Bombyx mori: one gene and its partner. Each later gene encodes a partner of the first gene's protein in a complex. Links are inferred from orthologs where the notes say so. Each region holds a gene or a part of one and is shown on either strand. Other genes may lie near its edges.

Evidence for each region.
Region 2: the proteins of protein unc-79 homolog (region 1) and sodium leak channel NALCN are in contact, whole or in part, in a cryo-EM structure (PDB 7SX3), measured with the Homo sapiens proteins. The link is inferred for Bombyx mori from reciprocal best matches to the Homo sapiens genes UNC79 and NALCN. Residues at the interface, in NP_001333147.1 of Homo sapiens: Cys861, Gln862, Ile865, Glu968, Pro969, Asp970, Phe1020, Gln1022, Pro2088, Asp2089, Ala2092, Pro2093, Leu2095, Leu2096, Met2099, Leu2139, Pro2141, Asn2142, Gly2143, Ile2144, Gln2147, Leu2148, Ser2151; in NP_001337678.1 of Homo sapiens: Gln349, Met350, Phe351, His352, Glu353, Gly358, Trp359, Gln360, Leu361, Phe712, Ser713, Ile714, Arg717.

What each region holds. Positions count from the first base shown.
Region 1 is NC_085113.1:1,084,294-1,088,119, reverse strand, and holds part of protein unc-79 homolog, read left to right. Parts: coding exon 1-36; intron 37-1,124; coding exon 1,125-1,214; intron 1,215-1,538; coding exon 1,539-1,615; intron 1,616-2,132; coding exon 2,133-2,242; intron 2,243-2,877; coding exon 2,878-2,985; intron 2,986-3,484; coding exon 3,485-3,608; intron 3,609-3,826. UniProt on the Homo sapiens protein: Auxiliary subunit of the NALCN sodium channel complex, a voltage-gated ion channel responsible for the resting Na(+) permeability that controls neuronal excitability.
Region 2 is NC_085110.1:9,112,544-9,116,982, reverse strand, and holds the start of sodium leak channel NALCN, read left to right. Parts: upstream 1-1,516; 5' UTR 1,517-1,561; exon of another isoform or gene 1,562-1,645; 5' UTR 1,646-1,779; coding exon 1,780-1,881; intron 1,882-3,100; coding exon 3,101-3,286; intron 3,287-3,585; coding exon 3,586-3,809; intron 3,810-3,892; coding exon 3,893-4,021; intron 4,022-4,439. UniProt on the Homo sapiens protein: Voltage-gated ion channel responsible for the resting Na(+) permeability that controls neuronal excitability. NALCN channel functions as a multi-protein complex, which consists at least of NALCN, NALF1, UNC79 and UNC80.

The DNA of each region.
Region 1 (3,826 bases):
AAATCTGACACAACAGTGCACGGGAGCACGGCACCGGTACGTAAACAATGAAGACAAACCAAACATTCAGCAAACTAAAAAACAGTGCCGCCACGGTTTCAGTAATCGTTGCTTTAGTCAGCATCCTGATTGAACTCGTCGATTACGACGAAGAGTTCGACAAACCCATAGACACCGCCTACTGAGTTTCTCGCCGCATCTTCTCAGTGGGTTGCGCTTCCGATCTGGTGGTAAATTCTGCGAAGCACTACTCTTGCTAGGGCTAGGGCTAGTGTTAGCAAATTCTCTCAGATTGAGCCCGTGAGCTCACCTACCCGTCTGAGCGTAGCTGGAATACCCATTTGGCTACCAGCGGATAGGTAGGGACAAAAAATATCGTTGCTCAGAGACATTAACAATGTCAACGTCAGCAGCACAGCCAAGTCGCAAATTTACGCGAATACAAGTATTTATGTTCATCGCAACACAAATTAAACAGTATAAGAAGTACAACTAGAATTGCAAGAACACGCAGTATTCATTGTATAAAGTCTATGATAATTTTAAGCTACCAAAAAGCCGTCGAGCTTTCGATTAGAAAAGAACACGTCTCTCTATTTTTAAGCTCTAGGAACATTTAACTTAAGTGCACAAGTAGGTCCGCGGTACGCGAGGAATGGCGACGTCTGGTGAAGCGCACCACCACCCGAAATGATGACCACGACCACTCTGCCAAGAGTGCATACGACTGAGGAGAACATTTAATATCGAGAGCCATGCGCTCGTCTGACGGTGCATACTATTCTGACAATGCAGTGCCAAACACAACAAATATTCTGTAAACATGTTCATTTTCATTTCTATCGTCGAAGCTATAGTATTGGCCTACAACCCTCAGACACAGCCCACTGAGTTTCTCGCCGGATCTTCTTAGTGGGTCGCGTTTCCGATCTGGTGGTAGATTGTGCGAAGCACGGCTCTTGCTAGGGTTCGTGTTAGCAACGTCGTCAGGCTTGAGCCCCGTGAGCTCAGCTACTAGTTAAGGTTACGCTGATATAGCCTCTCAAGGCTCTCAGCTTAGGTAGGAAAAAAAAGAAAAAAAATTGGCCTACCACGTTTATTTTAAGCACTGTATCTGGTTTTAGGGTTCTTTCGATGAGCCATCTCATTATGAAGATCCCCCAAAGGTGGAGACCCCGATCGCTAATACAACTCATCCGACTTTTAACAAAATAGTAAGTTACCATCTTCTAATATGCAAAATTTTCCCGGTATTCCAAAAATAAATAATAAATTTGGAATTTAAAACCTACCGAGTATTATAAAATCAGCAAATCACTCAAGCTCCAAAAACAATTCATCAATCTGTCTTGTCATTTAAGAGGACTTCAGTGCCAAACACACGTAAAGAAAACCTACAGAATGGTATTGTTTTAAATAATAATTCAAATAAAATTAAAGTTAATTTTTATTAATTAAAATTTAAATTCTACTGAAAATAAAGGATGTGTTCCTTAGGATGAAACTGTTACATTGATGATGTCACTGATTATTTCCAGACTGCAGTAACGTCAAGGTCTGCACACCAGCTGTCCACGAGCTCATCAGTTTCCATCGGAAGCGACTCCTCCAATTTGTGAGTCTGTTTTCTACATTCAGCTGAATGGCATTGTGCAGTAACCCAAATCATTCTAACAGCTGGCACTCCCACTTTTTCTATTTCTGCTGCAAAAAAGCTATGTATTATGGGTCCAAGAGTCGTTACACAATACAATTCAGATTTTGACCTCGTGTCTCCAAATGAGTGGCGGTATTCAAGTGTCTATGGGATTCGGTGATCACTCAATACCAGTGCGCTTAGTGCGAGTTTTTTAACGTTCTCGATAGCGTAAAAGTTAACTCATATTTGTATGGAGTTGGAACGTTTGTCTACGCTAGGTGCGCTGTTCCAACTGCATACAAATTTGAGTTAACTTTTACGCTATCGAGAACATTAAAAAGCTCGCACTAAGCACAAAAGGTTCACATTAATCTGAAGTTAATTGTCACTGAAAAATGAGACCGAAGTATTTGCTGCATTATCGTTTTACTACAAAAATATTGTTAACATTTTGCCAGTGTCCAATGAGGTTTATTTTATTCTACGCGTTCAGGAAATCAACACCGATGAGTGGTCAATCGGTGGAGATATGGCCTGACCAGTTGCACGGACAACAGACTTCGCCCAGAGCCAAGATCCTCGGAAAACAGAAGAGAATCGTCGGTAAGTCTGTTGATTAAATAGTTTTTTGACGTTCATTGTAATTTTTTACTGGTGGTAGGACCTCTTATGATTCTGCACCGGTAGGTACCACTACTCTGCCTATTTCTGCCGTGAAGTAGTAATGCGTTTCGGTTTGAAGGGCTTGGCAGCCGTTGTAACTATACTGAGACCTTAGAACTTATATCTCAATGTGGGTAGCGCATTTACGTTGGAGATGTCTATGGGCTCCAGTAACCACTTGTCCACCCATCTAAGGAATAAATAAAAAAAACTGAAAATCGTCCATGTGGCAATATCATCTGTAAAGCTGTCTTTTACAACGGCCCTAGTTGAGCACTGAACCAACCATGCTATTCTTTGGCTCAAATTGCATACTTATAACATCATACAAATAGCCAATCAGAGACTATCTTCAATAAACTTTTCGATCGCCTGATTAGCTTAATGTTCAATGGTTGGCAACTTCACTACAGAATTCAGGTTCGAATTTCAGTTAGAGTATTTTTGTTTATTTCTTATAGTAGAAGAGGCATCTGTCGTGGGACCAATGGTGTCGAAACATATAACTTTTTAATATACCAATATATATGTAGATTATTGTTAGATGCTAATTTTGGAAGCCTTTTATTTAATAGTGGGAAGTAGTACATCTCCGGAGACGGGAGGGTCATCTGGTGAGGGACAGTTCTCTCAGTGGCCCTCACAGCCGAGAGACCCACAAGTACATCACATAAAAAGTCCAGGTATCTAAATAAATTTTTACTGTCAATTACGACTTACTTATTACGATATTTTGATCTGACGGTTTAAGTATTATGTCTAAAAATGGGAGTCATACAGACTTCATCACTTGAACTGAAAGATGGTTAGCTACAGAATTATTTTCTGTTAAGCTTAACAACTTTTTAACAACATTTACCACCAGTAGTTTACTGGTGGTAGGACCTCTTGTGAGTTCGCGCGGGTAGGTACCATCACCCTGCCTATTTCTGCCGTGAAGCAATAATGCGTTTCGGTTTGAACGGTGGGGCAGCCGTTGTAACTATACTGAGATCTTAGAACTTATATCTCAAGGTGGGTGGCGCATTTACGTCGTAGATGTCTATGGGCTCCAGTAACCACTTAACACCAGGTGGGCTGCGACCTCGTCCATTCAGCTAAAGCAATTAAAAAAAAATTTTTTTTTTTGAGCTTAACAATATGCTTATTTTAGCTAACAAACAAGTGATGTATTTTCGTCAGTACGGTGCTGTGCGTACACGTCGCCGGAGTCCCCGCTGTCCCGCATGGAGCTGGCCTGGAGCCCCGCGCCGGCGCCTTCACACACGCACGCGCCTGCCCCCTTCCGCATACCGCCCACCGAGAGGTACCTTCACACCCTCACTTTATTTTATTTTTTATTTTTTGATGATTGAAGGATTGTGGTGCTGGGGACGAATGCTCCGAATTCCGTGGACGGCCAAGAGGACAAATAAATCTATCCTGGATCAGCTTCGCATCTGAGTCAGGCTCTCAACAATCTGCTACCAGACGATCCTCAGCTACATCGGTCATATTACCCGCCGACAGTCAGATAACTTGGAC
Region 2 (4,439 bases), on another chromosome or scaffold:
AATTTTGTTCAAAATTTAATATTATTTATTAGTTTAAAGTTTAAAATATAGTTTATACTTCATGTACTTACCGAAAGTAAGATACTCCAGCCGTTAAATTGCTTTTTCGGGCATTACTTTTGCAACTTTTGAATACACACTGCGGCATTGTGAGACGGGTTGACATTGGCTGTGTTTGAAGTGAACTAAACAAAATAACAGCTCACATTTCAAGTGAGCTGTTATTTGACGAGACGGATTTTATGCACCGACCCGAAATCTAGTTACTATTGTTGATCGAAGTAGCGATGTAATGATGCTCGAATCCCGCAAGCGAGTACTAATTTTTCTAATGAAATATGTACTTTGTCAAGTACGTATTGTATGCTCGATGCTTCTTATTGTGACTATAAAATGCAAACAAAAACCGTCACACAATGTATCAGTGTGCAACTGAACCAAAATATACGTGAATGTCGAAATATACGTTATTATTTACGAGTCGTAAAACTAACACATAAATGGTTGCAAGAGTTGGTAAATACAAACGTAATTTTAATTCGAAATGATGGTAAATGATGATATGGTAAAGAATAAGACATCCGGTGCATTCGTATGTAGCGATGCACCGGTGTTCGAATCCCGCAGGCGGGTACCAATTTTTCTAATGAAATACGTACTTAACAAATGTTCACGATTGACTTCCGCGATGAAGGAACAGCATCGCGTAACAAAAATCAAATCCGCAAAATTATAATTTGGGTACTAATTACTGTTGGTAGGCTTGTGAGTCCGCACGAGTAGGTACCACCACCCTGCCTATTTTAACCGTAAAGCAGCAGTACCTTTTGGTTTGAATGGTGGGACTTTGCATCTATACCTAGAACTCATATCTCAAGGTAGGTGGCAACATCTAGGCTGTAGATGTCGATGGGCTCCGGTAGCCACCTAACACCAGGCGGGCTATGAACTCGTCCACCCATTTAGGCAATAAAAAAAATCAACATCGCCAAGAATCAGTAAGTCACCATTCGCAGTCATTGTGCTTTATTAAAAGCAAGGTTGCTTAAGTATAAAGAAATACGATAGGCAGTGGCTTGGCTCTGCCTCTGGTTTTGCTCAGGTCTATGAGCGACGCTAACCACTCATCATCAGGTGGGCCGTAATGTCATTTGCTTGCAAGGTCAATAAAAAAAAACAAGCTTACAAATTAAATTAATTAATTTCACAACATTCAAGTTCGCCATTCAACAAGCAATACTGAATAGTTTAGGAATTGCTTAAATTCACAAGCGTGGAAGAAAAGATAAAAATCGCAAAACATGACTTTACGGTTTTTTTTTGCAAAGAAAAACTTAATTCTCAGTGAATTATTCACGATTAATGGGATACTCTTTTCTATTTCATTTCGTTTTCGTTAAATTTAATTTTAAAACAAACGTATGAGCTATGTTCCCTTTGCTAGTTAAAATTGCAAGAACATTAATTATTGACCAGCAATGTAAAACATCTCAGATTCAAATCATTTTGAACAGTGTTTTGAACGAAAATCAAGGAAGTTAAAATAATTGTTGAATTTCATGTTAATATTTAAATACTGTATTGTCCCTAGACGTTAATAGTGTTAACAAATATTATTCATAATAGTTTTTTGTGTTTAAAACAGATTTTTCAAGCTGCTTTTATTTTATGAAAATGAAATATTCAAAGTGGAAATGGTTCCAAATAAATACAGAAATTACAAATTCCATCCGCACCGCTTAAGAATAATTTTCAAAAATTCTCTTCAAACGCATAAAAATGTTGGGAAGGAAGCAGAGCTTGAAAGGAGAGCCTGTGCTGGCTGATTACGGACCAGAGGAATCGCTAAATGAAAGTGCTGATATCGAATGGGTTAATAAGGTAGTTTTTTGTTGCTTGTTTGCTTTAAAAGACTTCATAGTCTGCGGCTCATGACATACATTTTATGGTAGGCAGTGGCTTGGCTCTGCTCCTGGCATTGTTGACGTCCATGAGCGACGGTGACCACTTACCATCAGGTGGGCCGTATGCTCGTCTGCCTACAAAGGCAATAAAAAAAAATACAGCTACAATCGACGTAAATTTGCCAAGGCAATTCCAAGGACGCAGCCAATCTACTCACTAAATCATAAATGAAAGTTCAAGACAAAAATTATATATTGTTGGCATTTGTTGGGTGTTCAGGTGAACATAGTGGAGCAGTATCTCATTACCTATGTCCTCATTTGTAGACTCATTCACTACAAATCACATTTTGGCCTTTTGCTTAATATTGCTCTCTAGACCAGGACCCCTATATAGTTATATCAATTAAATTCCAAACATAAAATAAACTTTCAGGCTATTAATAATCAGTTTCATGGCATTTTGGGCATCATAAAATTCTTTACTATCTATCATCTATATAAAAAAAATGTTTAGATGAATGCCTGTTTTCTATTTATATTCATAAAAGATTTATCTGATTGTGATGAAAGTTGGTACATTTTCCATTAATCAAGCTTTTTTTATTGTACTTTAAACACGTTACTACAAATACTACATGTTACGTTGAATTATTATTAAGAAATCATTCTTTTTCATATAAAGGAGTGAAAGGTATTTGGTGTAAGTGACATTTTTGCACTTAAATTTAAAGTTAAAAATAATTAATTTATTAATTTTATTTAAAGTTAAAAATTTAGACAATATATCACAACAATTTTTTTTTAGCTAATTGAATGGAGTGAACTTTATTGAAGTTCAATTAAAAACATTGAACAGTTGATGCTAATACCAAATAAAACAGACCTTTAATTATCAAGATAAATGTCGTGCATTAAGTAAAATGTCACTTAAACCAAATAGTCTTTCATCTCTCGATATAATTATTAAGAGTTGTCAAAACTAGGTTACACAGATTTCACTTCACTTTAAAAAAATTTTTGAAGAGAAGAAGAAGAAAACAACTTTACAATATAAAATGTACTTCAACTGATTTCAAATTTTCTTTGACTATTTTAATTAAATTGTCTAATTATTTTTTAAAATTTTACTACTCCCATGAATTTTGTTTGCCATTTTAAATTAAAATTTAACAGCAACAAACTTTATTTTACAGCTATGGGTTAGAAGAATTTTGAGACTATGTGCCCTTTTGAGTTTGATGTCTGTATCTTTAAACACACCAAAATCATTTGAGAAGTATCCTTATCTTCAAACTATAACTTTTGTAGTTGATTGCTGCGTAACTCTACTTTTTACTGCTGAAATGATTGCTAAAATGCACATAAGAGGAATTCTTAAGGTAATGAGTTACAGTCAATATTTTCACAATTTTAGTTTATTTAATACACTTCAATTTATTGATACCACCTTTGGTAAAACTTGTAATTGGATCCCATATAAATCACATCGTTAAAGCCTAAATAGAATAGTGATAACTACCAGTGCATGTTTACATTTTACCACATTACTAATTTAAGTTGTTTAAGTAATTTTTTTTAATGTATTTGTTATTAAACAACATTTAGTATACTTTACATTTGCTGCTGTTTTTAGATAATTGTTCGAAAATTCAAATAAAAAAGGAATTATTTGTTGCAGGGGGATGTCGCATACCTAAAAGATCATTGGTGCCAATTTGATGCTTCTATGGTATTTTTTCTTTGGGTATCTGTATTGCTACAAATGTTTGAGTTAACAGGAATTGTACCTAGATACAGCTATTTAAGCATACTAAGAGCACCTAGGCCATTAATTATGATACGGTTTTTAAGAGTATTTTTGAAGTTTTCAATGCCAAAATCTAGAATAAACCAGATATTCAAGTAAGTTTGTTGCTCCTACCACTAAATATTGTATTTTTGATGATATTAAATTATACTGAGTGTATTACTTTTATAAATTACAGGAGATCAAGTCAACAAATCTACAATGTTACACTATTCTTCTTGTTTTTTATGTCACTGTATAGTTTGCTTGGTGTTCAATTTTTTGGAGAGCTCACACATCATTGTGTTAGGAACAACACCCACCCAAGGTAAAGTTTAATTTTCTATTTTTATCATGATTATAAAATGTCAAATGGGTATAATAGATGGATGTGGTTGACATAGTCACTAAGCCGGCTTAGTTCTATACACGGTATAGTAGAGTACTGTTGTGATACACCTACTGGTTACTGGTACTGGTAGCAAAAGGTCAGTATGGGACAAGGTTGGAATATGGCTGCTTTATTGAAGATTCAAAAAAAATTATATACATAATAGTTGCAGCCATTTAAACATAAGTTTCAAAAATCTTAGGTAAGCTAGGTAGTAGTGGCTAAAGAATCTTGCATTGCAATTTTATAATTGTTTATTTTATTTTGCACGTAATTTAAAAACCAAACGTCAATATAAACTAGTTCCAGTCTCAATTATAAGCAGAGCTGACAAAGTAAATGTAGTTGGTTTGCC